Linked DNA regions of Rattus norvegicus. The protein of the gene in region 1 purifies or fractionates together with the protein of each later gene. This does not show direct contact. Links are inferred from orthologs where the notes say so. Each region holds a gene or a part of one and is shown on either strand. Other genes may lie near its edges.

Region 1 (8,968 bases):
TCAGGACCCACGTGACGACCAGGCTGCAAATCTGCTACACATGTGTGGGGAGGCCTAGGTCCAGCCTTTGAATGTTCTTTGGCTGATGGTTCAGTCTCTGAGAGCCCCAAAGGTTGAGGTTAGTTTACTCTGTTGATCTTCCTACAGAGTTTTATCCCCTTTGGGGGCTTGCAATTCTTCCCCCTATTCTTCCATGAGTTCAAGCTCTATTCACTGGCTGTGGGTGTCTGTATCTGTCTGAGTCAGTTGCTGGAAGGAACCTCTCAGAGGACAGCCATGCTAGACTCTTGTCTGATATATAGATATTTTTAGGGAAGAGAGTTCAAGTGTCAGTAAAGATAAAATCATTCTTAAATATATGAAAATAATGTTCAAATTCACTAATGATCAGGTCAATTTAATGTTAAAGCATTTTGAGAAACAATAATTGAGAATAAATAAATTATTTAAGTCAGATGACGCCACATTGAGCAGGGTGAGCACTGGTGGGAATTCTTCACTGTAGAGAAGGAAGACATTATGTAACTACTTTTGAAAGGATTGGCTTCCCTGATGAACCTGACAGTGCACACAAACTACCATCAAGAATACTGGCTGATTGGTACAGGCTCTAGGGAAACCATGGCAACATTCATAAATTCTCACATTGCAGTAACGCTTACAGGAGCTTCTTTTCATATCAGAAAAGATGAAAACACACAAATATCTATTAATAAAAGGATGGACAAACAAGAAACATAAAGTCTTAGAGTAGAACCCTGGAGAGCAGAGAAAACGAGTGACCTATATTGTCTGTAACAACTAACAATGGCTAAATTGTGCAAGAATTAAAGTTTGAAAAAAGAATAAAGTCACAGGGCACACATGTCATTGGATTTTGCTTGTATACAATTCAAAGCCTAGCAAGCTCATGTACTACTAAGAGTTACTTATTTATACAGGTACAGATCCTCCAGAGAGGGAAAATGACCAAGCCATAATTCAGGACCTACTGACTCAGTGGGAAGAGAGTTGCTACTGTGTTACACATACAAGATGACCTGAAAAATAACAGTTTTGTCTTTTAGACTTTGTAGTATGTACCTAAGAGTTTATTCTTTGCCAATCTATTGTACATATTGCATAACCGTTTTTTATTTTTTATTTTTTTTATTTATTAACTTGAGTATTTCTTATATACATTTCGAGTGTTATTCCCTTTCCCAGTATCCGGGCAAACATCCCCCTCCCCCTCCCCTTCCTTATGGGTGTTCCCCTCCCAACCCTCCCCCCATTGCCGCCCTCCCCCCAACAGTCTAGTTCACTGGGGGTTCAGTCTTAGCAGGACCCAGGGCTTCCCCTTCCACTGGTGCTCTTACTAGGATATTCATTGCTACCTATGAGGCCAGAGTCCAGGGTCAGTCCATGTATAGTCTTTAGGTAGTGGCTTAGTCCCTGGAAGCTCTGGTTGCTTGACATTGTTGTACATATGGGGTCTCGAGCCCCTTCAAGCTCTTCCAGTTCTTTCTCTGATTCCTTCAACGGGGGTCCTATTCTCAGTTCAGTGGTTTGCTGCTGGCATTCGCCTCTGTATTTGCTGTATTTTTTAACCGAATTGTTAGATTCCAAGAATCCTAAACTACAAATCATCTTTAAATTTTTTTATTCATTCTTTTCTCCTGTATTACATCCTGACCAGAAATTCCTTTCCCTCCTCTGCTCCCAGTCCTTCCTCTCCACCTCCTATCTCCATGAATCCAATTCTCCTCCTGTTTCTCTCCAGAAAAGGACAGGTCACACGGGGTTGTCAACCATACATGGCATATCATGTTGCAGTATGACTAGACATTGCCCTTCATATTAAGACTGGATGAGGCAACCCAGTAGGAAGAAAAGGGTCCCAAAGCAGGCACTGTCAGGAGTCTTATAAGAAGACCACACTACACAACCACAACTTATATGGAAAGGACCTAGGTCAGATGCACTTCAGGCTCCATGATTGTTGGTTTAGTCTCTGTGGCTCCTCGTGTGCCTGGGTTAGTTGATTCTGTGGGGTTTCTTGTGGTTCCCGTGACCCCTCTGGCTCCTGCAATCCTCCTCTCCCTCTTCTGCAGGGTTTCCAAGCTTTGCCTAATGTTTGACTGTGGGTCTCTGCATCTGTCCCCATCAGTTGCTGGATGAAGCCTCTCTGATGATGATTATGCTAGGCTCTTGTCTATGACAAACTACAGTTCTTAATGTATTATGGTGAGATGATATGAATAAATCTGTTTGTCATATTCTCATGGCAATTTTGATAAATCGTGGTCTGAAGACCATGTTTTGAGTATCTGTATTATGTTAATAGTTTGAAGTTTTTTACTCTGATAACTGACAATTCCAGAAGAACAAGACAACAGTTAAAGGAGACAATTTACAACAAACGAAATGCAGCTCTTCCATGTTCAGAAACTTTCACTTTACTGTAGTATTTATAAGTCAAATGAAGTTGCATTTAAACCATGTTAGTCATTATACAAGATCCTGATGAAGAAACACGTCCCCGTACCGTACAGTTGAGAAAACTACTTAATCAGTATACCATGAATTAGGAAAGTAGTACCTGAAAGTCAACCCAGTGACCTTTTTACCATTTGCCTATAAAAATATAAAACCCTGGCTTCTTTAAAAAAAAATGAAATCATTGTCAATAAAATGCATAGGAATAAAATTAGGCTGAAGAAAATAAAGTACAAAAAGGTGACACTGGTCAGCTGCCTACTCAACATTAACACCAACATTAAACTTTCCTAAGAAGCATGAAGTTACAACAGTCAGTCCAAGCAACACGTTTTGATTTTGTTCTGACCTACATCTGGAGTGCTACTACTCTAAACGACCTCGCAATGACATCATTTTATTTTACATATGTACACTGAGGCTATTTATATACATGTCATGGTACTGTTCCGGTCTCTTCAGCAATGGGGACTTGCCGAGCAGAAGATTTCTAGTTGGCTTCTTGCACTCAGCAAGGGATCAAGTGGCCACTTCTTTTCCTTCTTTGCCGAGAAGGGTTCTGAGAAGTCTGAATGCATAGCTTGGTTTGTGGAGGGGGAACAGTGCTGCAATAAAGAGTATGAAGGGTCCGGGGTTTATAAATAATGTCTTTTCTCCAACAGTTCAGACGTTAGCTACACTTTTGACTTCTGTGCCTCCACCAGACTGTACGATCCTTTCATGTTGGCTTTTCTTGCAAAGTAAATGATCATCCCAATGGCGGGTATTACCAAGGAGGATGCAAAGTAGAGTGCAAGGAGTTCAGGGGAAAAATAGTCCTTGTTATTTTCTTTTCCTGGAAAATCAGCAAATGGATTCAATTAATGTCTAGCACAAAGGGAAATAATTCAACCGCAGTGTGTGTTTGATTGTAACAGTACAACTAGTTCTTCAAAAGAGGCAGTAAAAGCTGTGCTGAGGACCATCGAGACTCATATAACACATTTCTTTTTTTCCTGAAATATCCAAATAAGCAGCTTTTGGTTGCTATGCTCAGGATGGGTACAGGGATGACACTTTTTGACTCTACAAACTTGGATTTTAAAAGATTGTTCTGGGTGCTGAAAGGAAGGGGTAGTGCACATTTTAGTGACCTGTTTTATAAGAGTAGAAATCAGAAATAACCCTGCGACACTGATAGTCATGAACAGCAATGCCTAACGAGTTCTATAAGACAGTCTATGTAACACTCAGTGTGGGCATTAAGGTTAACGACAGAGCATTCTTGTCAGTGGTTGCCTGGATGTGCTTGTGTGGTGTGTTCTGAGTGGCTGAAGCAAAAGTATCTTTATATGATTACTCCCCTCCAGCATCGACAACTTCTCTTCATTTACTGATGGTCTTTGGGTATTTCACTTAAGTAAATGTCGTAGTTACTGGCAGAGTACATTCTCTGACCTACACCTAAACTGGAGTATGTAAATTGATACTCACTCCACCATTCCTTCAAAATCCAACCAGCACAACTTCTTATCCCCCTCATAGCTTGTAATTCAATATTTGACCGAGCAATTATCTGGTTTCCTCCCCTAACTGCAAACTCTGTAAAGACAGCTGTGTTTATAGAAGGTGCCTCACAACTACCCAGCACTTCAGACACGTCTTGGCACTCCGGATAGTCCCAAAATATTATTTGAGCACCAAAAAAGTGTTTGCCTTTCTAAATCTTATAATTTTGCTACATGGTCATAAATCGAGTACTGAAAATGACAATATATAAACAGTTTAAAATCTTTTCAGAGAACACACGAGTATAGCAACACCTCGAGCAACATCCAAGCTGCATAAAAACATCTCCAGAGAGCCTGGCATGCTCCCAAGACTTGCCTCTGTTTTTTTTGCACCCCACAGTGTGGCCTCACAGTTATGTTTCACTAAGTGGAAGGGTATGCTGTCTGAGTCTGGGCAGGGATTAGAGATCTGATCTGAAGCACATTGACAACTCCTTCCAGAACTTTCAAAACACAGAAAGTCATTCAAGTAGAAAAGACTCGTTAGCATCTCATGAGTGAATTGTTTCAAATTACTGAAGGATAAAAAACGATGCTTCACCTTGGGCATCATGATAATGACCTCATTTCTCTGCTTTCCTTTGATAGAATTGATCGAAGGGTAATGGTTTAATGGGATACTTATCATAATTGTGGTTACTCGTCAATATTGATGTCAAACTAGGAAGAAGTATTTCTGCTATTGTTTTCTTTTCAATTTAATTATTATCTTTGCCTTTCAGTTTGTCCCTCAGACATCTGTCAGAAACTCAAAATGGATCCAGTTGCTAGGACAATGTCCCAACACATTTTTTCCTGTTAATTATATAAACTTTGAAAGTTCTAACGATTCCTGATCATTTGCATCAATGGGATGCATTTAAGCCAAAACCAAACAAGACAACAAACATAAACATTCAGCTAGGAATACAAAGAAAAACCAGTTTAAACTATCGAGCAGGGAGGAAGGGAGGTCAACTTTGGGTCTTTTCATATGCAGTTATTTGAAATCATCTTCATATTGGGAGCATAGATGTCTGGCTGGGTGACTAATATGTTTTCATTGTTCATTTAAAAGATAAATTAAAGGTGACAAATACATAAGAAATTAATTAAGCAATTAGAAAAGACAATGTGGGAAGGGACAGTTTTTATGTTCTTGAGGAGAAACAGCCAGGCACACGCAGGATGACAAAAATCTTAGAAGTGCAATTTCCTGGGGCTAGGCTAAATTAGAGCTGGCCAGAGGAAGACATATCTCAGCCTATGCATAATTGAGATCTCGGTCCATCTCACCGGAGGCAACGGCTGCACACACTGTGTCATACCCAGTGACGTGATGGGAGCTACTGTTCCGCTCTTTGAATTCATGGTAGCCTCCTTGGCCAGATTGTTTTCAGAACAATCACCATGAGCAGGAGACTAGAAGTCTGACATGTAATTATGATATTTCCCTTTCCTTTAACATTTCTAAGTAGATGTATTTGCTCTGATTTGAGGAGGTGCTATGAGGACAGAAAAGCAGTGTATGCTAAGGTCTGTCATCTTGAAGAATGTGGCTAGTACAGTGTGTATGTGTTTTCTCACGCATGTTCAGATTTTCTCTGCACTGACGTGTGACTCGTTAACTCTCATAGTCAAGGCCAGCCTTCTTCAGAGTTGGCATTCATTAGCAGTGTTGCTCCCTCTACCCGACTGGATTTCAGCGTACAACAGCTCTTTGGTGTGCAAAGGGTCCAAGGCTCATTAGTCAAGGCTAGCATCAATAAAATTAGCAGGCACTCACAAGAGAGAACAGGAAAGTAAGGAGTGCCATTATGTGTCCGTGGGTGAGGGGCACTGTGCCCCCTTCCTCTGCATCAGGTTAAAGTCGGACAACTGGGGCATGGATTTCAAAGGGAGCTCTTGTGGAATCTAGAGATCCTGCCTCGGATCCAGGCCACTCTCTCCAATTAGCATCCTCACAAAAGAGCCATGCCGAAAATACACGCAGTTTTTCTGTACTCTGAAAGCAGAACTTCTCCTCACTGGGGAGCAAGGTCTGCAGAGGACAGTTCATCTGCTATGCCCGCCCCAATTCCTTAGTTTCCTTTCACCCTAGGGGAAACGTTGTAAAATATGTCGTTAAACTCTTAGCAAATCTAAGACCACAGAGACCAATGATGAATTGGCAACTTCAGGGAAAAAAAAAAAACAAATGGGAATTCCACATCAATGATGATTAATGTCCACTTCCTGGCTAAACGTGATAGGATAGAACAGCTGCGTCTGATTATTTCGAGACGCGTTTAAGAAACAAGCGGTCAGCGCGGACAGAATTCAGTCTCATTTTACCAACTCCAGCTAACAGTAGAAACTTGTTACTCTCCTTGGAAACTTGGAATCATTTTAAAAATAAATTAAGAAGAAAAAAAAGAAAGCAAACACCGAAAGCTAACCTTTCACATCAAGTGTTAAACTTCGCAACTGCGAGCCGACTTCGGTTTTCGATTCACACTCGTATACTCCGGCATCCTGCAGCTGTGCCTTGCGGATGGTGTACGAGCCATTAACAGACTTTAGCACCATGTCTCCTGTCTTGGCTTTCTTTTTCAGAATTATCCATATTTCGGGCACACTTCCACAAGTACAGGAGATAATGACAGTGTCTCCCTCTTTGACGCTCTTAGATGGGAAGACTGTAAGCTGTATGTCCTTCGAAGAGCCTGAAGAGAGAATGGACAGTTGGTGCGTGCGGGAGGGGTACAGCAATCCCATACTGCCTGAAAACGTTGGCAGCCATTGCCAAGCTGTTTGCGAGGCTTTCTGCATGAGCTGGAAGGAAGGAAGGCAAGCACAGAAGCCGGGCATTGGACCAATTCTCAACGATAATATTGTAAGCAAGAGAAGGCATATCTCAGGGTTCCTTTCTACCCTTAGTATGATTCTTTACCCAGGCAAAGACAAAAATTAGGTATTTAATAAGTAGCTGTAGAATTTAAACATCGAAAAAAACCTTTATTTTTTATTATTTTTTTAAAAAACCACATTGTTCACTGAACTTTCCTAGAAGCATAAAAGCCTTATGAGCTAGGTGCTCCCTGACCAGAAATTAGGATATATAGAGATTATTTTTCCTTTTACTGTCTTTAAGAACATAGTAATTAATTTTCAAATTTCCGGCTGATCTCTCCTGAGAGATAGAACATTTCTGTAAGGGCAAAAACCTTAGAGGGAAACACCCTTAGTCTGTTTTATAAACACTTGCTTAAGACCTTGTCACACTGATGCTCCTGCCCCAAGGCCACAGGGCCGTGACATCCACACTTAGGTTTCCTTTTCTCTCAGATGGTCACACTGTGTCACCCGGACAGACCTGAGAGTCTCCTAAAGGCTTTCCTTGAGATTATGTGGTACCCTTCCCTGGTTCTTCTTTTGAATTACAGACCTCAGAGAACCGAGGCAGCAGGAACAACAAACCCTAGTATTTGCCTTAACAGGAATAATGGAAGCTGATGCAGGAGACTGCCACCCTGGTCCCCCCAAAGAAAAAGCACGGGGGGGGGCAATGCAAGTTGGTGGCTTGCATAATTTTGTCCATGAAACCCTATGGCTTCTATGTGCCAAGCAGAAACTGTTTTGTTTTCCATCTTGGGTCTTTCTCCTGGAGAAGGGAGAGCTATATCTGTATTCACCCCAGTGGTTCTCAGCAGTAGGTTGAGAGGCCAGAGGGCATGATTACTGTGACCCTTAATCTCAGAGTTTTCAAATGGTGCCCTCGTGGGCCTCTAAGCAAATCCTAGGCAGCTTCTGGGAAGATGCTTCTTAGGATCCTGTTCAGCCGAATATGATGGTCTTAACCCTCAGTAATTTTCTACCCTTGTTTCTCCACCAAAACCATGATTCCTGAGAGTCCTCGAGCTTCCAGCTTAGCTTCCGGAGTGAGCATTTCATTTGATAGGAATAGGATTTTAGGGCAAAAAAATTGGTCTGAAATGAAAATCCATTCCAGGAGCAGTGTGGAACTGCCTTGATAATTAATTAATTTTTAATTTTGTAATTTTGCACATAAATGCAAAATTGGAATAAAGTTTTGGAATAAAGGTTTTACTTTTCTTTCTTTTCAAGGCTTATTTTTTTATTAAGTTATGTTTATTTGTATGTGTCTGTGTACATGCATGGGGTGCAGTGCCCATGGAATCAAGGACCCCCTGGAGGTGGAGCTATGGGCAGTTGTGAGTGTCCTGATGTGAGGACTGTGAACAGAACCGAAGTCATCTGTAAGAGTAGTAGGCCCTTCTTATGGATAGGCCGTCTCTCTGCCCCCAGAGGCTTTCTTTTCAAAGGAGATCTTGTTCACCATCAGTAACTCAATAGGAAATGCTCACCTTGGATAATCAGTTCAACTGATTTTTTGCTAATTCCAGCCTCATTAATCCCTTCACATACATAAATGCCGGAATCTTCCATTTTTGTAGCCATGAAGGAGAGTGTTGTATTTTGAGAAAGAGGCTGCAGTTCCCCGTTCTTTAGCTGTCTGCTCCACAGGATTTTGGGAGTTGGAAAACCATCACTTGAGCAGGTCAGGTTCACAGGACTGCCCTCCTCTGGGACAGGAGAGGGGCTAACCCAGATGGTGGGTTCTTTCGGAGCAACTGAAAAGCAAAGAACACTTAGCTTGAATCTTTATGCCCTGAATTCCAGAGTCTAGACAATGTTGTAAAACCAGGCAAAGGACTCTGGGTTAGCATGGTCTATACACTGTGATAGCCAGCCCAGGATGTTTCTGGGGAGGAGACACAAGGGGAGTTAGAATAGAGATGAAATGTGGATATTTTCAAATGGCAGAAAGATCTGTAGAACTCTCTTAATGTTAAAGCACAGAGAATCAAGTATAGTGCAGTGTTTGGGTGAAATGGTGATTAGAAGTCTCTGCATGACCCATAGAGAAGAAACAGGATAAAAGAGGATTAACTCTATTA
Region 2 (9,687 bases), on another chromosome or scaffold:
AGTATCTCCCTAACTTTTCAGCAAAACTAGAGGAAATCTATATGATGCTATTAAACAGGCACTATACAATATGAAAAGAGAGGAAGAGAAAGCTACAAAGGTATTATTTCTTTGTTTATGAAGACAGGGTTTTGTTATGTTATTCAGGCTGACATTGAATTCATTATGTAGCCTAGACTGACCTCAACCTCACATCTTCCTGCCTCAGTCGCAGAGTGCTGGAATTATAGGCAGAAGCCACTACACCCAACTCTAATAAACCTTTTCCTGTTTGCCAAGAGCTCTTCGATAAACATACCACCTTCATAATGTAGTTTCACTTAGTTTCTTTCTAAAAAAAAAAAACAGAATGGATGTGCCTACTCCTGCTTCAACTTGATGTCCCAGGGTGGGGTGGTACCCAAGGTCGGCTTCCCTTCCTCTGGGGAGAAGGAGAGGGGGTAATGGCGGAGGGTAATGAGGGTGGGACTAGGAGGGGAGCTCCAATCAGGATGTAAAGTGAATTATTTAATACAAAAACAATACAAAACAGCCAAAAACTCAAAACTCAATGGAGAAATGAATAGTCAAGAGTCCTAATGCCAGTATTAGTGGCAAAATCTAATGCAATGAACCAGAAACTCTACATTCTATACTGGTACTCAACAAACAATACTGCAGAAATATAGAAAGACAAGATAAATTATCTTTGGACAAGCACTGTGTGAACTCTGTATCTCTGGTATCCTCTAGCACATCAGAGGTGCTCAAATTCTAAAGACTATCTGAACAAATGCATATGAAAAAAAAGGTATCCAAGGCTATGGACCAGCGTGCCATCAAGGCTATCAAGAATATCAGTATTAGAAGGGTTCCTAAAGTTTACCTATTACTGGCACAGGTCCCTTGTGACAAATTGAAGAGATACTGAGAGCAGACAAAAAAGGAATTAGCTAATGGCCTACTTTATTTGGATAACCTTTCTGTTGAAAGTTGTAGCCCAAGCTGGCTACAAACTCATTATTTGGTAGGGAATAACTCTAAACTCTGATCACCCTGCCTCTACTTCTCAAGTACTGGGATTGTAGGCCTATACCACATGCCTAGACTTTCTTCTTCAGTTAGAACTTAATCTCAGTTTTGCTGCTGTCAAAATTTGATGAACGTGATTAACTTAGAGTAACTCAGTAGTATATATTTGTAGATTTAACAAAATGTTAAGGAAACTGAAAACACTCCTCAGTCTGCTGCTTAATATGACAACTTAAGATATTTTTAGGAGGGGTTGGGGATTTAGCTCAGTGGTAGAGCGCTTGCCTAGCAAGCGCAAGGCCCTGGGTTCGGTCCCCAGCTCCGAAAAAAAAAAAAAAAAAGAAGAAAGAAGATATTTTTAGGAGGCTGAGTCAGGATATTCTCATGCATTCTAGACCAATCTGGATCAACAGAAACTTAGGGTTTCAAAAACGAAAAACAAAATTTAGGAGGATATCTGTTTAATTTTATAGACTCAGGCAACATTTAGAATTTCAGCTATTGGCAAGTATCTATATATTCACAGAATTCCTTTAAAAGTCTCAGGAACACTTTCAAAGAAATTGTTTGTTTGTTTGTTTGTTTGTTTGTTTGTTTGTTTGAAACAGAGTCCCTCTGTGTGTCCCTGGCTGTCCTGGGACTAGTTCTGTAGGCCAGGAAGCCCTCAAACTCACAGAGATCAGCCTGCCTCTGCTTCTGAAATGCTGGGATTAAAGATGTGTGCCACCACCACCAAGCTTCAAGGAAATTTTTTTTGTTCAAATATAAATAACACATAATAAGTCTTTAAAAATCAAAGAGCATCTCATCTCCTTATATAGAATGAGAACGAATATTCTAAGTTGAGTTTTACTTTCTATTTCCCAACACCCACGATCCTTGTTCATGTAATGCTGAGCTAACCCTCCAAACCAAGAGATCCTCTATCACAAATTAGAACCTGGAACTGCAAAGTTTTTCAGCTCTATCAAGCATGAAGTAAAAGGGATGAACAGCAAAGCCAGTCAATTATAAAAAACCATCCTCATCATGACCTGACCAACGGACAGCCCCAAGGAAGACCACCTTTGTACTGTTCATTTGTTTGGTTGTTTTTTTCCTTCTTTAAGGGACAGAGGAATGAGGTGGGGTAGCAGAAAAGATTGAAGTTAAGAAAGAAGCACATGATAAACTCAGTTCTATCTTTCAAAGATCAGAGTCAGGATCTATCTTCAAAGATCAGACCCAGTGTGGCCATGAAAAGCCCAACCCTGATAGTACTGCTCGTAGCCAGTGCTCCCCCTCCAGGGACCCTGAGCCTAGAAATTCCAGTGGGGGCAGGAGGTGGACTCCCTGAATATACAATGGAACCTAAGAAAGACTGTTGCTAAGCAACACTATTAGAACAGAGTTCAGAATAATTGTAGCTGTCATCACTTCTCATCCATAGAGAATTAGATTTGGAAGCATGGGGAAAGACTAAATGACCTCTAAATGTCCCTTCCATCTCCACAATCTAGTAAAGCAGTAGGATTACAGTATCAGACAGAAGAAAAGGCACCGCTTTTTTTTTTTTGGTTCACTGTTAGGGTTTTTTTTTTGGGGGGGGGAGGGTTAGACAGCCTCACTCTATAACTCAAGCTGGCCTCAAACTCACTACAATCTTCTTTCTATCCTCCCAAGTGCTACAATTACAGGCATGAGCTACCATGCCTGATAACACTTCCCTTACAGGCCGCCATTACGGCACTTAGAGAATAATGCATCACTGACTGAGAGAGCAACCTTCCCCCCAAGAAAAAAGTAGAGGCTATTTTGTGCCTTGACTTTTCCCTCTCTGTGCAAGAGATTTTTCATGAGTAGGTATAAATGAAATCCCCAAGATGGTGCCTGTTCTGTTCTCTACTATCTAGACTTCCACAAAGGGTTCAGCAAATTGGAAAATCAAGAGTGGAGAAAAGCGTAGACACTGTAACATCATCTGTTATCCTAGTATAAGGGAGGCTGGGGTGGGAAGATACAGAGTTCAAGGTCATCCTTGCCTATATATCTTGTTGGAATCCAAAGTGGGCATCATGATACTCCGTTACAAACAAATCGAGTGATGTCCAAGATGGCTCAAAGGGTAACCCACTTAGCAGCCAAAGCTGACCACTTTATTGCCAGATCCCATAGTGAGGAGAACAGACTCCCGAAACTTTGCCCTTTGATCCTTTGATGTCCACTCCTCTGTGTGTGTGTGTGTGTGTGTGTGCGTGCAGACTATATAATTTCATCATTAGAGAGATAGAAATAGGATTGTCTGGAATCAAGGCCAATTTGGGCTGTACAGAGCATGACTCTGTCTCAAAACAAAAACAAAACACCCTCAGGTGGTAGTTCACACCTATAATTCCAGAAATTCTGAAGCAGAGTCAAGAGGATTGCTCTGAGTTAAAACACCAACAACCAAAAAAAAAAAAAAAAAGAAAAGACCAACCTATTTTATAGGCCCCTGAGGGCTACACAGCAACTGTTTCCAAAAAAGAGAGAGATGGTGGGGAGGTGCAGCAGACAGAGACAGAAGCCTCCCACACGACCTTCATTCCTGATCCTTTGCCCCACCCTCAAGTCTACAGGCAGGGCTGGTTCAAGGGTTAGAAGCCTGAAATTCTGCCCCCTATTCGCCAAGTACCACTTTAGTGCCACTTCAGTGGCTCAAGCAATGCTAGGAATGGCAGGAAAACCAACAGTTCATACAGCCCCTGTTAAAGTTTAGCTGAATGCGGACCCAGAAGTTTTCAAATACTTCAAGGAGCTGGGCTCTGTGTCAATCATGGATGGTACCATCCAGTGAGCACTGATCACTTTTTCCCATGATTTGCTAAATCCCAGTAAACTAAACAGGTTTTTCCAAGACTGACCTCCCCACCTCAAAAAAGACCTAGACCCAAGTTGTAGTCTTCCTGTTGGTATGCTGCAACAGTCATGGTCCATTCTCCCCGTTCACCAGTTTCAATCCCCCCATCTAGACAATGGGAAGACTTGGACTTGGTCTTATGACAACAAATCCCAGTATTTTGGTGGTGGAAGTTCAAGTCTAGCCTAGGATATATGAGACCCTGTTTCATAAAACCAGTTCAGCAAATAAATAAATTGTAACACTTAATACATCCTAAAGTTTGAAATTAAAAACTCAAAATCTTGAAAATTAACAATCTCCTTTTTAGGAAATCTAAGTGAGTCTCCTAATTCTTGGAAATAAAAACAAAAAGTTAAAGATGGAATTGAAAGGGAAAGACTTTCTCCAAAAAAAAAAGTTTATTTTTATTTTATGTTCATGAGTGTTTTGGCAGCATGTATGTGTACCACATTTGTGCCTGATGCTTAAGGACACCAAAAGAGGGAGTTAGATCCCCTGGAACTGGCGTTACAGGCAGTTGTAAGTTGCCACGTGAGGCACTGAGACCAGAACCTGTAAGAGCTTCTCTGATCCTAGCACTCAGCGGGCTGGGTTGAGATGGCTAGGAACTGGAGGCCTACCTCTGCTACAACAGTATAGGACCTTGCCTTGAAAAACACAAGACCAGACTTTGGGAACTAGTAACCAGAAATAGTCCCAAAAAGGTGTATTTCAACATATTCAAAGTAGGCTGTCCTGGCTAAGAGAAATTGGCTTAAACGGTGAAACTGATCATGTCGAACACAAAAAAAGGCATTTAATTTTTGACACTACCATTCTCTATCTTTCATAGTTTAGAAATGGTTAAGTACACAGCTTAGAAGCTGAAGGAATAGAAGCCGAGTTTAGTGGTGGCTCAAACTTAGAATCTCTCATTTGAAAAGGATTTACTTCCAAGAGTTTTTAGGTATATCTCAGGCTACAAAACAAAGTGAGTTCAAACCAGCCTTGGCTAGAATCAAATCCTCTATCAAAACAATTTAACAAGCCAGATGTGGTGGCTCAAGCCCGTAATCTCAGCACCGCCGAGGCAGGAAGATTGGCAAAAATCTGAAAGCAACCTACATTACATGGGGAGTACCATGCCAGCCTAGATTATAGGGTGAGATCCTCCCCACTGCAAAGCCCCACAGAATACATGTGATAAGAAAACAGAAGGGAAGACTAACTGAGGGGAGTTAGGAAATCTGCCAGAGGTCTTGGGGTGAAGGAGATGACAGGAGGGCAGTGGAGGTAGGGAACAAAGTATAATTTCACATACGTATATACTTTCACAAAGTATAATTTTATATAAGACTAAGGGACTCTGACTCAAAAAATTAGAATATATATTTAAAAAAGAAAGCTTGGTGTTTCTTAAGAACTGGGTTCTGCGAAGGCAAGGACGACTCAGTAGTGTAGCTGGAATATAGTATAAGGTGGCGAAGAAACCTCAATACAGACACAAAGACCTCCCCATGTCTATTCGCTCTCTTCTCTTCCCAGGCGCCTTAATCCCTTCTCAAGCATCCTAGACACTATCTCAGTTCTACCAAGCTCAGGCAGTCCTAGAGAGATGGATAGGCTAGCAACATACAACACAGGAACCCAGCAAGCCCCTTCACCTAAGTAATTCAATTCACGGTGGTCATAGGGCCTTCATGAGCAAGGACCTGGCGTGACTTGCACAAAAGCAAGCAGAGCTCATTAGTCAAGCACATACCCCTCCCCCACCCCTCCCTACTGGGCATCCGGCCCCCCTAGGCCTCACTCCCAGGAGGCTTCGGGTAGCAACAGCCAGTGGGGTGGAGACCAGATCACAAATCAACCACCACACTAGATAGGTGTGGCCCCCAAAGGAGAAAACCTATACCTCACAAAACGGTCCTAAGGGGACAGAGAGGCACTATGTCTGACAGGGATTTTGAATAGAGGAAGAGAAACCTGCCCTGTCTTCCAGTAGGTTGAGTGGGCCCCTCCACAGACTTGTGCCTAATGAAGTGTTTGTACCCCTGGGAAAAGCAGCCTAGCTGATGAGTCCCCCTACATCTTCCTCATCTCCCAGGGGAAGGAGTTGGAGCTGTGAAGCCGTGGAAGGGGGCAGAGCAGAAGTGGGGTAGAAGAGGGGCGGTTATGGGAAAGGTGGATGGGTGTGTGGGATCCGCCCTGTGCAACTTCCTCTCTCCTCCCTGCTTCTCTGTAACCATGGGGCTCTTCTGAGACACTGATAGCTTTGCTCCAGAAAGGCGCCAATTCCTGGGCGGGGGAAATGTTCTCAAAAGTAGAGTCGTTTTCCCAGTGCCCAACGACCCGTTAGAAAAGGGGGTTTATCCAGCCCCTCAAAAGAGTTTCCACTGCTTCATCCCAGAGGCGGGGAACTGGAACCCAAGAAAGGCTGGCCACTCCTTATCCACACTTTAGTCTTTACACCCCGTCACCCCCTAAAGCGCTCAAATTAGGACCCCACTATCTCCTCCTTCCTAGGGCCCTAAGGGACAGCCCAGCATCCCCAGCAGGCCTAAGACCAACCAAGCCCGAAGCCATAGAGTGGCAAGGGTCAAACTGGAGCCCCCAGGGCCGACCGCGCCAGTCCGCCGCACTCACCGTCTTCGGCATGGTGGCGGCAAGGGAGGAGTTGCTGAAGTTTGGCTGGAAACTGTCGGGCTGCTCTGAGCGCGCAGTACACTTCGGCAAGGACTCGGGAGAACCGGGTGCTCAGATTGGGTCCCACTCTAGCGTCGGGCGACTGCTCCGCTTCCTGCTAACGGGCCACGACTTTACAAACCCCACCCAGGAAAGAGCCGCCCCCGTTGCGCTGCTCGCTCCTTTATGTGGCCGGGCTTCCGCGCCTCTCCCCGCCCTCCCGCCAGCCTGCCCGCGGCTTCGGGCATCGCCCCGCCCAACCCTGCCCAGCCCAGAGAGGCTACTCCGGCCACGTGGGGGGCCAGACCCGGGGCCAAAACTCCGCAAAGACACCCACTCCCCACCCATGCCCACTCTGCCCCCCCACCTTTCCTCACTGCCCCCTCCCTCCAAGTTTCGACCATCTGACTCCGCCCCCAGTCTGAGCCAGAGCTTGACTGGGGGGCCACACCCTAGCAGATGCTTCTGAACTATGAGTTACCACTATTGGGAACCCGGTTGCCTAGTAGAGCTGCCCAGTTCCCTCTCTAGGAAGCCTTGTCAGTTAGAAAGTTCCTCCTTTTTTCTCTGTGACTTCCAATCACTCAACACCTTAAGCTCCCTGGGACCACAACAAATCCTCTGCTGTCCATAGCAGCCCCTGGGAGTTCTGCTACTCCTCAGGAAACTTCTGGACTAAACTTCTTCAGCTCTTCCTCAGCAATTCATTCCCTTCTATAGGATTCATTTAACCTGTCACACTTCCTTCGACCCTGTATGGGCCTCATTTTCTCCAGAATTGAGATCCTTTCCCAAATATCTGTTTTCTAAGTTCACTTTCTATCCTCCAATTCCCAGTCCCAACTCTCCTCACATCAGTATTCTGGTTTTTTCCTTAGCCCTTCCCCAACATATTGGATTTGGTTGGTCTGTTTGTCACCAGAGCTGGCTTTAAACTCATTATATAGATTAGGTTAGTCTTGAACTCACGATCCTACTACATTGGCTAAGTTAGTCTTGGACTAATAATCCTACTACCTCAACTGGGTCACAGATGTCTGACACCATTTCTAGACTTCCACTGTTTTTGACACAGAGTACTAACAGCAGCCAGTTGACTTGGACCCCCAATCCTCCTGCTTCTGCCACGTTAGTGCTGGGACTATAGGTATGCACTCTAATGCCAGGTTCACATTCACTTTTTAATAAAAATTCAAGTCTTTCAGGTGAGATACCCTCCAGTTCTGGTAACCATGCAGGGGCATGGATTGTGTGTCTTTCCTGAGGTAAATTACCATATACCTCAGTGATGGAGAGTCAAACACAGAATAGTGGAAAGGACATCTGAAAGGGGCAATCGGAACACCCACCGGGCTTCAAATCATTGTTTTATCATTAACTCACACTGTGTCCTCTGCGCTTTCTTGGGTAAGTCCCTTCCCCTCTCTGATATTGAGTTTCCCCTTCCATAACAATGACCAAACTACAGGGTTTCCAAGGTCCTTTCCCATTCAAACATTATAAAAAGAGGAGAAATAAGTAGCCAGTTCAGGAAAAAAGGAAACATGTAGGTAGTTGCATAAAGTCTTACATTTACACTCAGGAACCTAACAGTTCCATTTTATTTTCTCACAACTTTACAGTGTTCATGAGTCAACATGCCTCCATTTCTGACACTGATACCACTGTTCACTGATAGGTGGTAAGGTAAAAAAGAACTTTGCCTGTCAAGTGTTTGCCCCAAGGAGGAGTAAGACCTCTCAGAATACCTCAGTAGCAAGAGTAGAAATGGTAACCAATCAACATTCCTTGATACTGCCATGGCCCATGGACCCTCCACCTTATTCAGCCCCTACAAAGTTAAAGAACCTCACTGATTTCTTCATTCATGTTCACCTAGGGCCTAAAAGATCTTGGCACTAAAATAAATAACTAAAATAAGTCCACTGCAGACTACTTTAACTTTCTGGAACGTGGAAATCCCCAGTATGTAATTCCCTAACCCCCATGTGCATGTGCACATCCGCAGCCATGACACACCCTCCCTTTTACTCCCTGCAAACACATGCGCAAAGAAAAACTGGGTAGCATGTCAAGGAGCTGAGCAAACTACTAAAATGCTAAGGGAAGCATTGGAATCCAAGTGGAGAGGAAAGGATGCCATAGGGTGGGGGCAGGTAGAATATAGTAAGGAAGTAGTTGAAAAGAATCTGAGGGAGATGGGTAGGATTAGGCCTAGGGAATGAGTGATTGCACAAAAGCAATGATGGTTAAAATCAGGGTGGAGTCGGGAGAGAACCAATGAAGTAATGCCCCACCTTCCCCCTTCACCACACAGAAGCTGCTTGAAGTAGCAATGGTTACTGTGGTCAAGCAACTGGACATTACTGGCATGTTAGACTTGAAATAGTCTCCGTATCTTCAGTGCAAACCAGAGGCAACTGTGGTGCTCTGCTGTTCTTCCGTAAGGACAGGGATATTCATCTTACTTCCTACCTCTCTGCATGCCACTCCATATTTACATGGTCAATACTTCTGTTCTTCCCCTGCCAACCTCTTCTTCAGAGAATTATACCAATCTTACTGGGACCAGACTAATCCCAACAATTAAGTTTAAAAATGATCTAATTTATGGTAGTCTGTGTGGAGAAAAAGACATGGAAATAAAGTTTGAACATCCACACACATAGGCTCCCCAGGGGGACATAGGGAGCATGAAGAGATTTTGGATTTTAGATGTGCTAAATTCCTAACATTCAAGGAAGGTTAGGCAAGTGTGTTATTAAACAGTCAAGCAAGGTAGGGCCGCTAGGAGCAGACGCAGTACAGGAACATTCTAGATCCAGTGTCCAAGAAAGCTGGAGAGAACACAATGAAGGGACAGGAGATTGAGCAAAGAGATTTCAGAGCTGGAGAGTGGAATCCATTGGTAAAATTATTACACAATAAGCATGAGGGCTTGACTTCAAATGCCACCATCCACCTGAAAGACTGGCAAGGAGGTATATGAGGAGAAGGATGGTGCAGAGACAAGTAGGTCCCAGAGGCTTTTTGGCCAGCCAACCAAGAGATTTAGTGAGATCCAGGGTCACCAAGAAATCTGGTGGTGGACTTTTCCATGAATCAGTCTGGCTATTCTGGCTAGAAAAGACTTA

The links.
Region 2: the proteins of Vcam1 (region 1) and Msn purify together in Homo sapiens (affinity purification with western blotting; 3 studies listed by BioGRID, with this or other methods). This does not show direct contact. The link is inferred for Rattus norvegicus from reciprocal best matches to the Homo sapiens genes VCAM1 and MSN.

What each region holds. Positions count from the first base shown.
Region 1 is NC_086020.1:206,720,626-206,729,593, forward strand, and holds the end of Vcam1 (vascular cell adhesion protein 1 precursor), read right to left. Parts: intron 8,642-8,968; coding exon 8,375-8,641; intron 6,713-8,374; coding exon 6,446-6,712; intron 3,314-6,445; coding exon 3,153-3,313; 3' UTR 2,425-3,152; downstream 1-2,424. UniProt on the Homo sapiens protein: Cell adhesion glycoprotein predominantly expressed on the surface of endothelial cells that plays an important role in immune surveillance and inflammation.
Region 2 is NC_086039.1:65,002,484-65,012,170, reverse strand, and holds the start of Msn (moesin), read right to left. Parts: upstream 6,626-9,687; 5' UTR 6,527-6,625; coding exon 6,515-6,526; intron 1-6,514. UniProt on the Homo sapiens protein: Ezrin-radixin-moesin (ERM) family protein that connects the actin cytoskeleton to the plasma membrane and thereby regulates the structure and function of specific domains of the cell cortex.